Canis lupus familiaris: one gene and its partners. The protein of the gene in region 1 purifies or fractionates together with the protein of each later gene. This does not show direct contact. Links are inferred from orthologs where the notes say so. Each region holds a gene or a part of one and is shown in the gene's direction. Other genes may lie near its edges. The genes, in order: LRIG1, ERBB4 and EGFR.

Region 1 (3,489 bases):
TTTGTCCGAGAGACGCAAGCCTCTTTGCAGAGGTGGACGCTCATGGCGTTACGTGCAGGCAGCCCCAGCTCTGCACCGGATGTAACAAGGAGCCGTGGGACGGGATGGAGAAAGCCCAGCGGAGACCTGGTCCGCAGAAGATGGGTAAGAGATGCTCTCATCAGGCAGCCTTCAGTTCTTGAAATTAAAATTCAAGTAGACCTGTTCATTCAGTGAGAGAGATGCATTACCGGTCTAAGTCTAGCTCAGAGTTTGGTATTCAGTGCATAAACAGGAAGCTGTGGCCTGGCTCTTGTAATCTGAAGTAGCATGTCTCCTAAATAAATCTGTGCTGTGGTGAGCCTGGGCTTGAACTTTCCAGATTTATAGGCAAATTAAATAAGGGGCAAGGCCCAAATCAAAGTCTCTTTTCACCAGGGCTGTTTCTGAGACTATTTGTCTAATTATTCCAAAGACTCCTGACACCACAGGGATGTCATGCAGTGGGATTTTTTTTTTCCCCCCTCTGTGATCAGAGCAGTAGGACCACTTTCTCTCATGAAGCAATTAATCTGAAATGCTGAAACATGGAGGGCCCCTTCTTCACTAATGGCTCGGTATCAGCCCAGTCCTTTCTCTGGGCTGATGCAACACTTGGGGGAAGAGGAGAGTTTTCATAGAGTTGGTCTGTGCAGGCCCCTGGAGCTCCCTGTTCCGGGTGGGGATGCAGACCTTGGTGGCCATGGCTCTAATCTGTCTCCGTCCCCGCAGAGCACAGTGGCCCGGCTGCGTGCGGTGACTGTAACACTGACTCGGACGGTTACTCCAAGGAACAAGCTTTCTATCCTCAGCCTGTGACCAGAGATGGCGCACAGCCCGGTACACTAAGCAGCCAGGAGCCCAGTCAGACGGACCGGGAACATTCTCTGCATCATATGACCAGTGGGACTGCTGACAGGTCCCGTGCCGACTGCAAGGGGTCCCTCTATCCCAGTAACCACGACAGAATGCTGACACCCTTGAAGAAAAAGCCAATGGCACCTCCAGATGGGAAAGGTAGATGTTCATGGTCTTCCAAGGAGGCACCTGCAGGTGGGGGCGGGGAGGGGGTCGGTAAGCAGCCGGACGGGAGGCTCTGACATGCCCTCTCCTTTCTCACAGGGGCCTCCTCTTGGACTTTAGCGAGGCTGTGTGAGCCAGACTCCATAGACCTCCAGCCTCCCTCGACATTAACTCCAGGCAGTCCTGAGCTCCCAGAAGCCTCCTCGGGCTTTCCTGACGTCCCCAGTGAAGGCCAGCACTTGCTTCTTTCCAACGGACACCTCCCCCAAGCGTGTGACTCCAGTCCCGAGTCCCTACCGCTGACAGGACAGCTCCCCGGGCAACGGGGCGTACCCCTGCTCTTTGCACCGAAAAGCTAGGCTTTGTCTACCTCAGCTCTTGTGTCCGTCTCTACAGGAAAGAGGTAGGAGAGGCTGTAAGGAAGCTTGAGTTCAAGCGTCACTGATGTGTACAGAGTTTTTAAACTTCCATGTGGAGTGTCCGTGGTCTAAAGGACTTGCAGCTGAAGCACAGAACCGCCAGAGGCTATTGTGTACAAAAGCAGAAAAGTATTTGATACCATTGTACATAAGAGTTTTCAGAGATTTCCTATATATTATATATCTTTTGCAGAGGCTATTTTAATCTTTAGTGCATGGTTAACAGAAAAAAAAGTACAATTTTGACAATATTATTTTTCATATCAGGTTGCTGTTTAATTTTGGAAGGGGGGCAGGGAATAATAGTTCTGGTGCCTTAATGCATGGATGGAAGTTGTAGAAGCTAAAAACCACATTTGCTCCTAGGAGTATCTGGCGGGTGGGGAGGGGAAGTCCTTGGGTTTGTATTGCACTTCATAGGCCAGCCCCGTGGGAGGCTGTACGGCCCGAGCCTTCGTGTGCGTTGGAACTCACTTCCTGTCAGTATTGCTCACGTGTGGCTGCTCTCGCAGCTCCCCTCCCTGCAGAGTCCAGAGATGCCCATGTCGTCCTGTACCTCTGCCATACGTGACTTTCTTGAAAGTTTAAGTTCTTGCCAAGCAGGACGGGGGTGGTTAATCTGCCACGAGGCATTTGTTCCAAGCAATTAAGCACTGCCTGCCTTTCTTCTATGAGAAAAGCAAATGTGGTTGTCATCCGTATCGTTCGATTGTCATTCGAGGCTTTTTATTAAGGTAGAGGCTGCTGGTGTTGGTACCTGTGGATTTTTCAATAGTGATGTTTTAGTTCTGCCAATATAATTAATATGACATTGATCATGGGGGAGAAAAAGGATCGAGTCCTTACTTTTCAGGGCTAGCTTATCTCTACTGAGGATCCGGAGCCTGTCTCTCCACGTCCTTCCCTCCCACCGACAGACCCGGGCTGGGACTGTACAAGCTTAAGAAGCCCTTGACCGGGGCCTATTTGCACTTTGGAGACCTGTAGCTAACCATCTTGTGAGTGCCAATGTGTATTTCAGGAAAAACTGCATTGAAACAAGGTCCTTAAAATCTCAGAAAGCAAGTTCCTTTAGCCAAAAAGCTGAAGGTACAGACTGACAAAATGGTTGTTAAATTTTACTGTCCGGTGTCATCACTGTTCTAAAAGGTAAGCACATTCAGACTTGTGTTCTCAACAGTCAACTGATTAATGTTACTTCCACAAAATATGTGAATTTGCTGCTTCTGAGAGGCAATGTGAAAGAGGAAGTATTACTTTTATGTACAAAGTTATTTATTTATAGAAATTTTGGTACAGTGTACATTGAAAAACATGTAAAATATTGAAGTGTCTAACAAACGGCGTTGAAGTGTCTTTAATAAAGGTTCATTTATAAATGCTGATTGTGTGGCTGGGGCATTCTTCTACCTATGCTGTAAGCGGCACTGTTTCACCCCGTTCTGTTCCAAAAACTCCCTTACATTCTGCCTTTAATTATCTGTTTTCCCAAAAAGGGGAAAATTTCTTCTCGGCAAGCAAAATCATATACTTGTTTGCTCCGGGGAAGATACACCACCCCTGGATTCCTGAGATTTCTAACAAACACCTGGAGCTTATTAGTCAAGCTCTGAAATGGTGACCTCCCCCATTTCGTCCCTTCTAATTTCCAGTACTGCGCAACAGACCTGACCAGGCGTGGAGAAATGGTGCTGTCTCCCCGCTGGCCCAGGCCCCTCCTCTGGGGCTCGCGGGGAGGGGGACTCAGGTCCTCAGTGGGCCCACCACGCCCTCCCAGGCCCTGGGCTGCAACTGCTGGCTCTGTCTCACACCACGTGGGCTGCTGGACACTTCTCTGTAAAATAATACAGTCGTGTTCTTTAGGGGACATCTGAGGGTAATTAGGAACAGCAGCCTGGCTGCCAGAAGAATGCCTGCTTGCACCTGCAGTTCATTGTTTTTAAACGGAGCCCGAAGCTTCACCACAGGGAGACACCCAGTGGCGGGCACCACTTTCCTGCTCCCTGTCGAGCTCCCCCCCCTCCCCCCC
Region 2 (3,646 bases), on another chromosome or scaffold:
TTGCATTGAGAAAAGGTACCATGAACCTTCTAAGAGAAAAAGTACAAGCCAGCCTGTATAGACTCACTGTGGAGCATCCCTTGATTTTATCTCTGAATACAAGTTTCTATAGAAGATTATTGTACTCCAGCCTACTTCTCAGAGAGTAGAGAATGTTAGTATAGACCTTCATTACACTTTCAATTAATGAGTTTCAGGAACCTGGTAAGGAAAATCAGATTCTGTCTCCCTTAAAAGTTTGTTTGCATATATTTTTCTTAAAATGTCAATTGCTTTAAACACCATTCAAATTCCAACATGTTATGAAGTGAAAAGTTTTTCCTACCCCTTTAGGGACAATAATTAAAACAGTACAGTAGAACAAGGAAATGGCTCAACAGGAGTTTTAGAACTGAATTCTAGTTCAATACTGCTTGTATCCTTCATACATCATTTAATCTTGGTTCTCTATTTATAAAAGTGAAAAAAAAAATACAGCTTATACTTCCTTTCTCACAGGATTGCTGTGAGGAAGATGTAAGTTCCTGTCATGCCTATGTATGATGGTGGGATAGTAATTACTATCCTTGAACTTGCACATGATGCTAAATACTTAAGTATATCAAAGACCATGGACTAATCACCCTAAGTTGATGCAATTTTTTTCTCTACTTGTCAGGCTATATATAGAGGATAGAAAGTTTGTTTCAGAACGGTGGCATCTCAACAAACAATTATGCCCTTCCCCTGCCCCAACACCAAAATAGGAATAGCTGAAGTGTCATTTCTGTGTAGACATTAAAAGAGAGGACAAAAAGGTCTACTCTGCATGAATAGATGTCTATATATCGTCTATACTATAAACATAGAGAGAATTATATTTGAGAAGAACAGCATTGATAACACCTTTTTAAAAATTGGGTCAATATTCTGTATTAATTTATCAGATCAGATCATGCAAAATAGCCATTATAATGACTGGTGCCAATCTACAAAACAGTTATTTCATATAATTCAAACTAATAATTTGTTATTTTGTGATTATGGTTAGCCATTGGAAGTAAATGCTCTAATTACACTTTATTCTTAGGCATATGTATTGTCGAGCAAGTCAATCTAGTGACATGCTAGATGTCTATCAGATTTTATTAGTTGAGTCTTTTCTTTAGATGTTTCCTTTCCTATATGTAGTGCTTTCTGAAAAACATCTGTAATCAAATCCACTTTACCTATATGGACATCAGAGCAAAACACACAGACTGAAAAACACTATTCCTTCACTTTATCCATTTACCTTGGCATGGAGCTAAGCCATAGACATTTTGATTTTCCAATACCCTTTAAAAAATTCCAATTTCTCCGCATTTAAAAGCTATTTACCCCTGATAGATTGCCTTATTTTTCATCAACAATAAAATACTGACTTTTAGAAAACAGAAGCATTCAAACAAGTGGCCTTCTATGTAGGAGACATAAATGCAATTAGAAGGAAAAAGGAACAATGTAGGGGACAGGAACTAGGGCTTCTGGCCTGCGGTGCTTTGCTAAGTCATTAAAGAGTTTTGGTCCACCTACTCTTTTTTTTCATATGACAAAAGTAATAGACAAAGTAGTTTTTGTAAAAATTCATGAAAACAAATCCATGGCTTTATGATTCTGGAGAAAGAAGCTGACCATCCTGCATTACCTTCTTCTAATTAACATTTTCCAGAAAGTAGATACTAACTGATATTTTTGCATTCCTCAGAATACTTGAACCCTGTGGAGGAGAACCCTTTTGTTTCTCGGAGGAAGAATGGAGACCTTCAAGCTTTGGATAATCCCGAATATCACAATGCTTCCAATGGTCCACCCAAGGCAGAGGATGAGTATGTGAATGAGCCACTGTACCTCAACACCTTTGCCAACGCATTGGGGAATGCCGAATACCTGAAGAACAATGTACTGTCTGTGCCAGAGAAGGCCAAGAAAGCATTCGACAACCCTGACTACTGGAACCACAGCCTGCCACCTCGGAGCACCCTTCAGCACCCAGACTACCTGCAGGAGTACAGCACAAAATATTTTTATAAACAAAATGGACGGATCCGGCCTATTGTGGCAGAGAATCCTGAATACCTCTCTGAGTTCTCGCTGAAGCCAGGCACTGTGCTGCCTCCTCCACCCTACAGACACCGAAATACTGTGGTGTAAGCTCAGCAGTGGCTTTAAGATACAGACACACCCGCTCCAATTTCCCTGCCGCCTCTCTTTCTCTTATGGTCTTCCTTCTATTCCCAAGGCCAGTAGATTTGACACTTCCCAATGGAAGATATAGAGATGCAATGATAGTCATGTGCTTATCTAACTTGAACACTAGAAGGAAGAACTGAAAGAGAAAGACAGGAGGAACCACACTGTTTCTTCATTTCTCTGCATGGGTTGGTCAGGAGACTGGAACAGCTAGAGAAGGGCCAACAAATAAAAGGCAATACTGCCTGCTGTCAAGCTAATTCTCAACGTTTTCTCTTTCTTCTTTCTATTTTTTTTTTTTTAATGCAGATGCCTGAAAGACCCATGCTATCTGTTCCTATCTGTAGGAACTGATGTATGCATTTACACTATCCTTGGAAATTGTAATGAAGTTTCCATTAGAACAAAAGGATAACCTTTTCTATAACAAATGGGAGTAACTGAAATTGAAAATCCAATTTCCTTTTCCAACAGTTTCTATCCTGACAAGCAAGAATGGCCAACTCAGCTTTCATAATTTTTTAATCTCTCTAAAAGTTATAACTAGTAATAATGTTTGGAGGGATTTTTTTTGGTCTTTTTGTTTTGTTTTGTTCTGACAGCTTTGATCTGTCTCTTTATATTACTTTTACCTCCCTATATTTTGACTTTAATTTCTAATTGCAAATATTTTTACATCAAAGTTTCTTATGTGTTGCTATAAATTGACAGAATTGTAAAAAAAATATTTTATTATGGTGAAATGACCATTATTTTAAATATATGGCCTTTAAAATAGAAGGGGAGGCCAAGATATTAGTTAAGTGTAACATCAAATCTAACTCTCATGTTTTACACTATGGAATATGTACCCCCACATCTTTTACATTCTTCAACATTTTCTTCTCCATGAATGACAGTACTTGATAGGCAGTTGGTAGTGTAAAGAGTAAATGGGAAACTAAGAGACAGTTCTATGTGGTTCATGAAAACTACTGACACTTTCAGGGGTGGTCCAATGGGGAATCCATTGAACTGGAAGAGACACTGGATTGGGTATGTCTACCTGGCAGATACTCAGAAATGTAGTTTGCACTTAAGCTATAATTTTATTCGTTCTCTTTCTGAACTCCATTTTGGATTTTGAATGAAGCAATATGGAAGCAACCAGCAAAATAATTTAAGTACATTTTTTAAAAGAGCTAAGATAAGGAAAGACTGTGGAAATGCCAAACCAAGCAAATTAGGACTTTGGAACAGTATCCAAGAGATTATGGTGAGAGGGCCAGCACATTATCAACAAGTGATATCACATTTGCTACGCAAGAAAAGTTATCCAGTTTGTACACTCCATATGAAGGAATGCAAGTAAGGATTGGCTTGACTCCATGGAATTTCTAGTATGAGACTCTATTTATATTAAGTAGAAGGTAACTCTTTGCACATAAATTGGTAT
Region 3 (4,332 bases), on another chromosome or scaffold:
CTGCTCCGCCAGGGGGAGGCACGGGGGGCGGGGTTGCGCGGGGGTCCCCAGGGCCGGGCGGGGGGTGCTGCTCCGCGAGGGGGAGGCACGGGGGCGAAGATGCGCCGGGTCTCCAGGACGGGGCGGGGGGGGGGGGCGGCTGCTCCGCCAGGGGGAGGCACGGGAGGGGAAGGCACGGGGGCGGAGGTGCGCCCGGGTCCCCGGGACGGGGCGGGGGGGAGGGGGGCTGCTCCGCCAGGGGGAGGCACGGGGGGCGGAGGTGCGCACGGGTCCCCGGGACGGGGGGGAGGGGGAGGCACGGGGGGCGGAGGGGCGCCCGGGTCCCCGGGACGGGGCGGGGGGGGAGGGGGGCTGCTCCGCCAGGGGGAGACACGGGGGGCGGAGGTGCGCCCGGGTCCCCGGGACGCGGCGGGGGGGAGGGGGGCTGCCCCGCCAGGGGGAGGCACGGGGGGCGGGGATGCGCGGGGGTCCCCAGGGCCGGGCGGGGGGTGCTGCTCCGCGAGGGGGAGGCACGGGGGCGAAGATGCGCCGGGTCTCCAGGACGGGGCGGGGGGGGGGGCGGCTGCTCCGCCAGGGGGAGGCACGGGAGGGGAAGGCACGGGGGCGGAGGTGCGACCGGGTCCCCGGGACGGGGCGGGGGGGAGGGGGGGCTGCTCCGCCAGGGGGAGGCACGGGGGGCGGAGGTGCGCACGGGTCCCCGGGACGGGGGGGAGGGGGAGGCACGGGGGGCGGAGGGGCGCCCGGGTCCCCGGGACGGGGCGGGGGGGAGGGGGGCTGCTCCGCCAGGGGGAGACACGGGGGGCGGAGGTGCGCCCGGGTCCCCGGGACGCGGCGGGGGGGAGGGGGGCTGCCCCGCCAGGGGGAGGCACGGGGGGCGGGGATGCGCGGGGGTCCCCAGGGCCGGGCGGGGGGTGCTGCTCCGCGAGGGGGAGGCACGGGGGCAATGATGCGCCGGGTCTCCAGGACGGGGCGGGGGGGGGGGGGGGGGCTGCTCCGCCAGGGGGAGGCATGGGAGGGGAAGGCACGGGGGCGAAGATGCGCCGGGGTCCCCAGGACGGGGCGGGGGGGCGCTGCTCCGCCAGGGGGAGACACGGGAAGGGGAGGCACGGGGGCGGAGGTGCGCCCGGGTCCCCGGGACGGGGCGGGGGGGAGGGGGAGGCACGGGGGGCGGAGGGACGCCCGGGTCCCCGGGTCCCCGGGACGGGGCGCCGCCGCCCGCCGTCTGGGCCGCTCGGCTCCTCCCGCCGCCGCCTCCGCCGCCGCCTGGCCCCTCCCCCGGCGGCCCGGCCCGGCCCGGCCCCCGCCCCCGCCCCCGCCCCCGCGAGCTAGACGTCCGGGCCGCGCCGCGCCCGCAGCCTCCGCCCCCGGCACGGTGCGCACGCCCGCGTCCCCGCGAGTCCGTCCCCGGCCCGAGTCCCCGCGAGCCCGTCCCGCGGCCGCCGCCCCGCAGACGCGACCTCAGGCCCCGCCGCCCGCCGCCCGCCGCGATGCGCCCCCCGGGGCCCGTGGGAGCCGCGCTCCTGGCGCTGCTGGCGGCGCACTTGCAGGCGAGCCCGGCGCTGGAGGAGAAGAGAGGTGAGCGCCTCCCGCCCTCCTTTCCCGCTTCCTGGAGGGCCGGCTGCGCCCCTGCCGGGGCCGTGGGAGGAGGAGCGGCCGCGGGTTCCCGGGCCGGGGCGTCCCAGGCGGCCGGACGGCAGGCTCCCTGCGCGGGGCCCGCGGGGCTGCAGCGCGCGCAACTTCCCGGGCTCGGCGGCCGCGGGGCGCCCCGCGCCTCCTCCCGGGGCCCGGCTGCGCTCGGGTGCGGGGTGCGCGCCCCCGGGGCTCGGGGCGAGCCGGGTCCCCCTCCGCGGCCGCGGACCTCCCGAGCACACCCCCCCCCCGGGTGTCGCTGCACCCCGACCTTGCCAGCCGGGGCGGGCCCTCTCCTGGGGTGCGCGCACCCTTCTGGGGGGGTCTCGCGTGTGCCTCTGCCTGTGGCTGCCGGGAGGGAGGAGGCGCGGGCTGCCCTCCTCGGCTACAAGGGGGTGCGCTGGGCTCCCCCGCGCGCGGCCCCACGGCGCTTGTCCGGCTCTCCATCCCCCTGCGCGCCGGGCGCACCGGGCTCCGCGCGCGCCCCTGACCTCCGGGACCTCCGGGACCTCCGGGACCTGCCGGCACCTGCAGCCCGTGGGGTGCGTCCCCAGGCTCCCGGCGGCGCCCGGACGCACGGAGCCCCGTCCTGCTCAGGTCCCCTCCGCTTCTGGAAATGAGGCCCACGGCACACTTTCCTTCTCAAGATCCCGAGACTTCTCTCGTGGGGGGGAATGTTCCTTTTAGCCTTTTTGAAGAATTTGACGTTGGGCCAACCGAAATATTGAAGGTGATGTTTTTTGAAAGAAGGACTGATGTCCGTGGCTCACCGGTGCCGAATGTCCAGACTGAACATGAGCGAGCCTTGGCTTCGTGACTACCGGCCATAAACCCACTTGACATGAGAAACATGCCTCCGAAGGCTTAATTACACAATTTCAAAATCAAGCAACCCGGGTTCCAAGAGTCAGGTCTGTACTTGCTGCTGATGTCATTGGCCGGCGCTGAGTGAGTTGGTTAGGGCAGCATTAATGCACAAGCCGGTGTGGTTCCCAAACTTCGCTGCGGGTTACAATCACTTGGGATCTTCAAACCAAACCAAACGAAAACTCAGGTCTGGCCCCCCACCCCCACCCCAGACATCCTGATTTCCTTGGTCTGATCTGAGACCTGGGCATCAGGATCTTCGAGAGCTCCTCTGGTGGGTCCGCTGGGCAGCCAGGTTTGGGGATCACTGGTGTAGGGGAGAGACTGCTAAGGTCTCTGGAAAGATTACCTGCTAATGTAAAGAAGCTTTTTTGGAACATCTGGAGTGTTAACAACCTTGCAAAATATAGGAAAGAGGAGGTGGAGGGTGATTTCAGTAATAGGGGATTAGTCTTTTCACCGACAGAGCTGGTGGAAAGCTCTGCATCCTCTAAGGAGTCTGAAGGGCTCCCCTTCATCTCTGCGGGGAGCCCTGGAGGCTGTGGTCCTGCTCCTGCAACAGGGTCCTCTTAGGCAGGTGGTGTCTCTCCCTCTCTGCTACAGGGCCCCCCCCGCCCTCCTTAATTTAAATTGACTCTTGGAGCACCTCCAAAGCATCACTTTGTGTGTGTGTGTGTGTGTTTTAAAAACTCCTGAAGTGTTTGCAGCTCTTTGCTCTTCCCCCTTTGAACACTGCTATTAGTGCTTGGAGATGTGTTTCCAAGAAAATGTATAAATACCGCTTAATTTGCCTGTCCTGTATTTGCTTAAAACAGAATGCTCCTGGACACGATTGTGAGGGTGGGCGAACAGATGTCATTCTGTTAGAGTAACATTACAAAACCAATTTCAAAGGATGAATTATTAAAAATATAAAAGGAGATGTTTTTACCAAAGGTGTTAAGGACCCTTAGCAAATTCAGTCGGTTTTGTTCAAGCAAATTTACTCGGTTTAGAGAGCCTTTTTTCCCTAAGATTTGGTATCTTCTGTTCTTATGGCTCTTGGTACTGTCAAGCACTGTCTTACACGTCCTTTTAATCCTTACATTAGGCATATGTGGTGAGTACGCGCTTTATTAAAAGGGGGAACTGAGGTCCAGAGAAGTAAAGCGACTTCTACATTTAGGAAGAAGCAGAGCCAGGGTTCAGACTCAGGCCTTCTCACCCGCGAGTCCTGCCTCCTCCACCTAGCTCCACTGCCCCCTGTGAGTTCTGGTTTTAGGAGAGCCAGATCGGGTGTGTGCAAACACCTAGTGGCAGGTGCTGGGAGGCGGAGGAAAGGACCAGGGAACGGGCTCCTTAGGACTGGTCTCTGTGTGAAACTTGGAACAAACATCCACCTATTGGGTGGTCTAGACTCTTGCTCCTTTACTCAGTAGTTGCTTTGCCTTCTGTGGAGGCAGCTCAGTCGCCAGAGCAGCAGTGAGCTTGGACACTGCTCGCGGATTGTTAAGCAAGCCCCTCTCCCTTGCAAAATGGAAAGGTAAAGGTGTTGCTCCAGAAGAGAGACCCTGGGTGGTTCTCTGGGGAGTGCGGGGGGCCTGTCCCAGCTTTTCCTCTGAAGACATTCTCGATTTAGTAGGCTGTGTTGAAGAGGAGGGAATGAGAGGATTTTGAATTGTATCCCAAGTGAAGATCCACTACCCTCTTTTCTCTCAGGAGTTCAGAGGTCAGGAAGCCCAGTAGGTTGTGGCCTGGAAGCCGGGACGTCTCTTCTCGTTCCAGCTCTGTGTCAGGCTGGACGTGGCAGTTACCAGCCCCAGGCTCCTGAGTCCATCTCAGAATTCAAAGAGTATT

The links.
Region 2: the proteins of LRIG1 (region 1) and ERBB4 purify together in Homo sapiens (affinity purification with western blotting; 3 studies listed by BioGRID and IntAct, with this or other methods). This does not show direct contact. The link is inferred for Canis lupus familiaris from reciprocal best matches to the Homo sapiens genes LRIG1 and ERBB4.
Region 3: the proteins of LRIG1 (region 1) and EGFR purify together in Homo sapiens (affinity purification with western blotting; 4 studies listed by BioGRID and IntAct, with this or other methods). This does not show direct contact. The link is inferred for Canis lupus familiaris from reciprocal best matches to the Homo sapiens genes LRIG1 and EGFR.

What each region holds. Positions count from the first base shown.
Region 1 is NC_049241.1:25,160,532-25,164,020, forward strand, and holds the end of LRIG1 (leucine-rich repeats and immunoglobulin-like domains protein 1), read left to right. Parts: coding exon 1-144; intron 145-750; coding exon 751-1,035; intron 1,036-1,140; coding exon 1,141-1,400; 3' UTR 1,401-2,189; coding exon of another isoform or gene 2,190-2,217; 3' UTR 2,218-2,845; downstream 2,846-3,489. Other genes in the region: SLC25A26 (S-adenosylmethionine mitochondrial carrier protein), read right to left, coding at 2,190-2,217, 3,128-3,294. UniProt on the Homo sapiens protein: Acts as a feedback negative regulator of signaling by receptor tyrosine kinases, through a mechanism that involves enhancement of receptor ubiquitination and accelerated intracellular degradation.
Region 2 is NC_049258.1:18,897,243-18,900,888, reverse strand, and holds part of ERBB4 (receptor tyrosine-protein kinase erbB-4), read left to right. Parts: intron 1-1,726; coding exon 1,727-2,172; 3' UTR 2,173-3,646. UniProt on the Homo sapiens protein: Tyrosine-protein kinase that plays an essential role as cell surface receptor for neuregulins and EGF family members and regulates development of the heart, the central nervous system and the mammary gland, gene transcription, cell proliferation, differentiation, migration and apoptosis.
Region 3 is NC_049239.1:5,959,373-5,963,704, forward strand, and holds the start of EGFR (epidermal growth factor receptor), read left to right. Parts: upstream 1-1,472; 5' UTR 1,473-1,487; coding exon 1,488-1,575; intron 1,576-4,332. UniProt on the Homo sapiens protein: Receptor tyrosine kinase binding ligands of the EGF family and activating several signaling cascades to convert extracellular cues into appropriate cellular responses.